2 linked regions of the Coturnix japonica genome follow. Each later gene encodes a partner of the first gene's protein in a complex. Links are inferred from orthologs where the notes say so. Each region holds a gene or a part of one and is shown on either strand. Other genes may lie near its edges.

Region 1 (3,647 bases):
TATAAAAGAACGATCGCCGGACGAGGTCGCGGCTCGTCTTGCCCAGCAGGACAAAGAGGAGCAAGAGAAGATCGCAGGTGAGCCCATACCTGGAGTTCTGCTACACATGCTGTAAGGGACAAAAGGATTGTTCCCAACCTCTTGTGAGCCACAGAAAATAACGTAAGGAGACACTTGAGATATAATGAATCACTTCAATGATGAGGCTGCAGTTAATTCCAGTATTTTCTTTCCAGCCCTTGCAGCAACACTGGAAGGAGCCCTGAGCTCTACGGCTCGTGTAACACTGCAGGCAATTACTGCACAGGAATCTGCTGTGCAAGCAGTGAATGCGCACTTGCAAATACTGAAGGAGGCAATGGACAACTCGGAGGTAAATTGGGCAGCTGGGGACTTGTGTTCATCGTGTAACTAAGGATAAAGTCTGAGGTTTAATGTTTGTCACAGTTTTACCTGATCTTCCCACTTGGGAAACGTTGTAGGGTTTAATAATAAAGTGCTTCTGCTTTTGACATGTCCCACTTTGTGTAGGACTGCTGCTTTCTGTTGCAGAGGGTATAATGGAGTGGTCAATCACAATGTCAAGGTTCAAAACCACAACAAAAACGATAGAAAGAAGAAATTCTTAAGAGCTTCCAGCTGTGTTGTTATTATCTGATGGGTAATTTTGTACCGTGGGCATTGTGATAACACTAATGATCGATCTGTGCTTGTCAGACTGCTGGGGAGAAGAAATCAGCTCAGTGGCGCACTCTGGAGGAGGCTCTGAAAGATCGAAGGAGGGCAGTGGATGAAGCTGCTGATGTCCTTCTGAAAGCCAAGTGAGTTCTTTGTATCTCCTACCCATACTTAAATACAGTGCTCCTTAGTTCAAGTAAGACTGAAGAAAACAATAACCCATAATCCTTCTAATATCATTTTGGATCATTTGATCATTATTATGCCTATTGTAAGAATTCAATTTGCTGCACTCTGGGTCTGTTGAGTCAATAACATCGTTGGCTTCTCCTAGCTGTGATGTAAAATTAAGTCTTACAGCACTGTTTGTTGGTTCCATTCTTCAGCAGAGCCACTCCTAAGGCTGGCTATTTATTAGATGTGTGCTCATGCATGTATGTGGTTATGCAGTAAGACCTGTATGTGTTATAATCAACAGCTTCATTTCTTTTCAGAGAAGAGTTGGAGAAGACAAAAGGTGTAATTGAGAATGCCAAGAAGGCTCAGATCCCAGGAGCCAAACCTCACATCATTGCTGCAGAGGAAAATCTTCATCATATGATAGTTGACTTGGACAATGTAGTGAAGAAGGTAACACTTCCAGCTGTTCTTCATCATCATTAGAACAAGGACTGATTGGCAGCTTGTGAGACCCCCTTTTTCCACGTCCTTTATAGCAGATCAAGTATTTCTTAGTTTAAATGCTATTTCTAAACACAATTTTCAGCTATAGTCAGTCTTTGAGCTGTGTGTGGTACCAGTGAGTTGTCTTGACAAGGACTTTGCATGAAAAGCCTGAACTCTGTCTTGGAACTCTGCAGCCAGTTTGTTCAGTGTCTGCTCTTTCCTTGGGCAGCTTTCATTTCCTTCTTTCTGATGCTGGACTTGCAGTTCCTTCTGTCTGATGCTGGACTTGCAGTTCCTTCTGTCTGATGCTGGAGTGGAATTAGGAAGATGAGACAAACTATTCAGGGTGCTGATTGGCGTAGTGTCCTCTCACTGAGTGTATCCAGTTGTTCTGGTGGTGGCTCTTGTGCAGGGCATGGGAGACATAGGGTTGGATTGCTGAGATTACTTTTTAACCTTGAAACTTGTTTCTTTGGATCTGGGGCACACCTATAATATTCATCAGGTTGGGGAGGAGTCTGCTGATGACTTTGTGGGTATATCACTTTATGGCTCAGAAAACAGGATGAAAAGTAAAGTTGAAATCATGCCCTTTTGCAGGATAATGGATTGCTCTGATGGAGGAATTTCAGTGGGGAATTTCTCTGAAGTGTGGGAGTACAGAACGCAGTGAGGGTTGGGCAGCTCCCTGCTGGGGCTGTGATGGCTGCATGCTGCTCTGATGGTAGAAAACATTCTGTAATGAAGGTGTAGAGCTGGATATCTCTAAAGGAACATATTGTGTTGGTTTTTTCTGAGCTACAGATTGACTACAGTATTACAGTGTGCGTGTGAAGAAGTGGATCTGTGTAGTTGGGGTAAATAATTACTGTGTATAAGAGGCTTGATGTCACAGGGCAGCTTTTCCCCAAGTGAGGATAAAGATCTCTGCCACTAACTCAGGTTTGATCTCAGATGACTTCAGTCTCCTTGGAAGATAAGCCAGTCTCCTTTTTTGTTTGTTACAGGTTCAGGCAGCACAGTCTGAGGCCAAGATCGTGGCTCAGTATCATGAACTTGTGGCTACGGCAAGAGAGGAGTTTCAGCGAGAACTCGAGAGCATCACCCCCGATGTGCAGCCGGGCTGGAAGGGGCTCAGTAAGTCTGCGGCGATGGCAGTCAATCGTAGAGCAGTTCATAGAGCAGCTGTAACAATGCCTGCTTTCAGGATTCCCTGATTCTGAGCTCCCTGATTCTTTCTAGATAACTGAAAGAGTGAATTCACTGCTCTTTAAATACTTCACTTATCCCAGTGTGTTAGTTCTAAAGGAGAGTGACACAGGAGTTGATCTGGAGTAACAGCCAGTGCTGCACAGAAGCAGTAAATGGCTGCGTGGTGTTTTCCAGCTGCTACAGTTCTTTGCCTGAGGTCTGACATCTGGCACACTCATGTTTTTGAGGTGCTTGGGTTTTTCAGCTGGAGCTCCTTCCTGCTTTCCTTAGAACAGATAAAAGTGAAGTGAGAAATGTGATTCAGAAGTACAGTTAGAATCTTTCTGCCTCAGTAGAGGGATAAATGTATTACTCAGAGTTGTTGGAAGGTTCAGATACCACCACAGTGTGATTGCAGGCAGGCAGGGAAGGAGTCAGGCTTGCAGTTAAATTCTTATGGCTAAAGCAAGTCAGCTCATCCTCTGTGATCCTCTTTCTTAATGGTACTTAATGCTCTAGAAATGTGAATGTTAGTCCACAAACTCATTTTCAAAGCTAAATGAAAACACCAGGCCTGTGTAACACATGGGGTTTTTGTTCTGTAAGAAGTTGGGAGAACTTACTAGGTTGAGAAACTGCAGTTTGCTGTGCTGTCTCTCTTATGTTCAATCTTCTGGGATATTAGTTCTGAAGAAAATGGGATTTGGCATCTGGAGATGGAGCTACCATTTCTAATGCAGGATAAGGGGAGGACATCCTGAGTATTGTGAGCACTGCACTGTTCTGAGAGAGGGAACATCCCGGCAGCTTCCAGGCGTTCAGTTTCACACCAGTGTGACCCTACTTAGTGTACAGGACTGACTCGATAGTGACTCTCACTGCTACCTGGGAATTTGTCTCTTACCCAACTGCTCGTTTGTAAGGACCTGGAAATTCTCAGTGTCCTGTTGCACTTCTTTACTTGTATTTCTCGCTTTGACTGAACCTAAAGGTTCATCTGTGGGTTTCCAAAGGCAGCTGTAGTGGTGGGGATGTTTGGGTTACATCTTGCTTGTAACAAGGAGGGATCTCCGGAGTCTGTTCTTGAACTCCTGCAGCCTTGGATCACTCTA
Region 2 (3,124 bases), on another chromosome or scaffold:
TAAGTGAGAATTTTAGGGGATTATCAGTTACACAATTTGTTACTGAAATGTCAAGGGATGACAGAATATTCCTGTGCTTCATTGGAGAGAACCAACCCCAAACCATCTGCCCCACTTTGCAGGCGAGGAGGGTTCATGCAAGGAGGGAACCAAAGTCAGCTGATGCACGGAGGGGGGATGCAAGGGGAGGGATTTGCCGGCCAGGAGCGAGCGAGCCGACCCAACGACCCTCGCTTCAACCGTCGCTACTGAATGTTTTAATTTCTAACGCTACGTGGCAACTGCAGTTGGTTTGTCCCTGGGGTGTCCGGCCCTTGGAGCTCGTGGGTCACTGTAAGTGGAATTTCTTTTTTAAGCTGCTGCCATACGACGTCACTCGATCCAATGTGAACTCATTTGTTTTGTAACGTGTTGTTCATATCCTCATTTAAAACTGTTTGTTAATGAAGCATTCCATTTTCCATAAATAAAAAAAAAAACAGTTTACAGTTCACGGCTGCAGTCGTCTCTGAGGCACCTACTGCTATGAAGGCATGGAGCAATGGGGGCTATTTGTCAAAACCAACCCCAATGAAACCAGAACTTCAAAGTCTTTTATTGCAGCCCTTGTGGCTGAGCTGTGGGAGCAGCACGGGACGGACAGAATGAGAGCGGGACAGAGGATGTGCTCAGCTCACTTGACGAGATCCTTGAGGTAGTTCCAGCCCTGAGCCGTGTATTCACACGCTCTGCTGGGAGCCACCGACAGGGCAGACATCAGCGTGTGCACCCCTGTAAGGGACATGGACAGTCAGCACAGCACAGCAGCAATGGAGGCACATGGCAGGTTGATTTGTGGCACCAACCCCAACCCCGGCCAGTGTGTGGTTCTATGACAAGCTGCAGCACTGGCCCCTTCCCACAAATAATGAAATGGGATTTTACCTTTATTCCAGGAATCCGAGGGGGAGAAATCCAAGGTTGGAACGGGTGGGAGCTGCAGAGAGAAAGAAAGAAAGAAAGAAAGAAGGGCAGCAATGGGGGGCAGGGGGATCACGGAGCCCAAAGGGGTTTGGTGCTACATCAATGAGCATCAATGAGAATCAATGAGAGTCAATGGGCATCAGTGAGCTCTGGGCTCTGAGCTGCAGTAAAAGCAGAGGGGAAATACGTGACAGCTTATAATAGGATCCGATATGGAAAAGCTGCTGGTTCCTTCAGGGTCTCCCTGTCACTGTGGGTCCAAACAGACCCGATGCTGCTCCTTATCCCCCCCTTATCTCCCCCCTTATCTCCCCTTATCTCCCTTATCTCCCTCTCACCTCCCATCCCACGTGTCCGCTCCATTCTCTCACCGCAGCCGGTAGCGCTTCCCGGGCCCGTTTTAAGGCCTCTGCCCCCTCGGTCCCGCTGCCCAGCAGCCCCTGATCGTACGACACGTACACGGCGGCTCCGGCCAGGCCTCCCTTGATGGCGAACCTGCAGGGACCAAAGCAGTGACTCGGTTCGGTTCGGTCCCGCCGTTACGTCCCTCCCATCCCGGGTCTGACCGCGGTCACTGACCGGATGAGCGGCGCGATGCGGGCGGCCATGACGGCACCAAGGGCAGCGCCGCGAGGGCCGCCGGGAGCCTCACGTGACCGGAAGAGTGGAGAACCACTTCCTTCTCAACCGTTACCACGGCAACGAGCGCACGTAGGAAGCTGCGGCCGCCGCCATCTTGGGGTGAGGGGTCGGGGCGGGCAGTGAGGGGGCTGGGGGCCGCAGGGCGGGGAGTGGGGGCCGCACCCGCTGAACGTGGCGCTGTGAGCGGCGACATGATGGGAGATGAGCGAGATAACGGGGTGATGAGGCCTGACCCGGTCCGACACCTTCCCGTTGTGGGGGGGCAGCCCGTTCTATCGCCTCCATCCCGCCCCGTTCCGCTCGGACTCCCCCCGTCCCCCATCACTGATCCCGTTCCGTTCCGTTCCCGCAGCTCGTTCCCGTCCCGCCCCGTCCCGTCCCGCACACGATGGTTCCCATCACGAAGCTGTTTTGTGCCGCGGGGCTCCTGGCTGCGCTGCTGTGTTTGCGCTGCAGGGACGACCCGTTCCACGCAGGTATCACGGTCCGACACTCGGTAACGGCCGCTCAGTCACACGCAGCCCCCGCTGTGAGCGCGGCCACAACCGGCCCCGGCTGCAGCAGCGGCTCCATCCGCCCCCACCCGCCGCTTCGTGCCCCGTTTCCCCGCACACTTGTGTCCGTGTGTCCGTCTGTGTGTCTGTATCTGTGTCCGTGTGTCCCGTTCTCAGAGCTCCTTTCCGGTGCCCGCGTGCTTCTGACCGGAGCCAGCGCCGGGATCGGGGAGCAGTTGGCTTATCGCTATGCGGCCTATGGGGCTCAGATGGTGCTGACCGCCAGGAGGGAGGCGGCGCTGCGGGAGGTGAGGGAGGAGGGAACAGAACGGCGGGGACTCGGGCTTTGGGCTTCGGGCTTTTGTGGCTGTTTTGTGCTGCCATCCCCTGCACTGACCCCATGTGGGTTCCCCTGTGCTGGGTTCCCCCGTTGCTGTCGCCCAGCAGCGCTGTTGCAGCGCGTGTTTCTCCCACCAGGGGGCAGCACCGCAGCCCGATGTTGCTCCTTATCGCTGCTCCTCCCCCCCACCTCACATTGAGCCATTGGCACAGCGCTGTTTTCGCAGGTGATGGAGAAATGTCTGACCCTCGGAGCAAAGAAAGTCTTCTACCTCCCAGCTGACATGTCTTCACCTTCAGAGCCCGACAGGGTGGTTCAGTTCGCTGTCCAAAAACTGGGTAAGCGGGACAAGAATGGCAGCACAGCCAAATATCTGCTGTATTTACCCCTGTATTTACTGACTGCTGTCTGTGCCCGCAGGAGGGCTGGACTACCTCGTGCTGAACCATATCGGCACTTCCCCGTTTGAGATGTGGGGCGGGGATGTGGAGCACAGCCGCTGGCTCATGCAGGTGAGGATTCCCAGCAGTTCTTGTGATTCTGCTGCTCCTGGGACAACCTGGAGGGGCTCGAAGGCAGATTCAGAGCTCTGCCTGCAGCCGAGGGCAACCGTGTGTGTGTTTCTAGGCTGATACTTTGGAGCCTCCCCTACTCACCTCAGTGTTGTGCTGACTTAACCTTCCTT

What was found.
Region 2: IMMT (region 1) and MICOS13 share a complex: the UniProt entries of both Homo sapiens proteins name them as parts of the mitochondrial contact site and cristae organizing system (MICOS) complex. The link is inferred for Coturnix japonica from reciprocal best matches to the Homo sapiens genes IMMT and MICOS13.

Annotation. Positions count from the first base shown.
Region 1 is NC_029519.1:77,504,767-77,508,413, reverse strand, and holds part of IMMT (MICOS complex subunit MIC60), read left to right. Parts: coding exon 1-77; intron 78-236; coding exon 237-373; intron 374-717; coding exon 718-821; intron 822-1,172; coding exon 1,173-1,308; intron 1,309-2,351; coding exon 2,352-2,481; intron 2,482-3,647. UniProt on the Homo sapiens protein: Component of the MICOS complex, a large protein complex of the mitochondrial inner membrane that plays crucial roles in the maintenance of crista junctions, inner membrane architecture, and formation of contact sites to the outer membrane.
Region 2 is NC_029543.1:715,167-718,290, reverse strand, and holds MICOS13 (MICOS complex subunit MIC13), read right to left. Parts: upstream 1,650-3,124; 5' UTR 1,572-1,649; coding exon 1,543-1,571; intron 1,459-1,542; coding exon 1,302-1,458; intron 977-1,301; coding exon 925-976; intron 772-924; coding exon 674-771; 3' UTR 574-673; downstream 1-573. Other genes in the region: scaffold attachment factor B1-like, read left to right, coding at 123-252; HSD11B1L (hydroxysteroid 11-beta-dehydrogenase 1-like protein), read left to right, coding at 1,994-2,081, 2,277-2,407, 2,666-2,777, 2,860-2,951. UniProt on the Homo sapiens protein: Component of the MICOS complex, a large protein complex of the mitochondrial inner membrane that plays crucial roles in the maintenance of crista junctions, inner membrane architecture, and formation of contact sites to the outer membrane.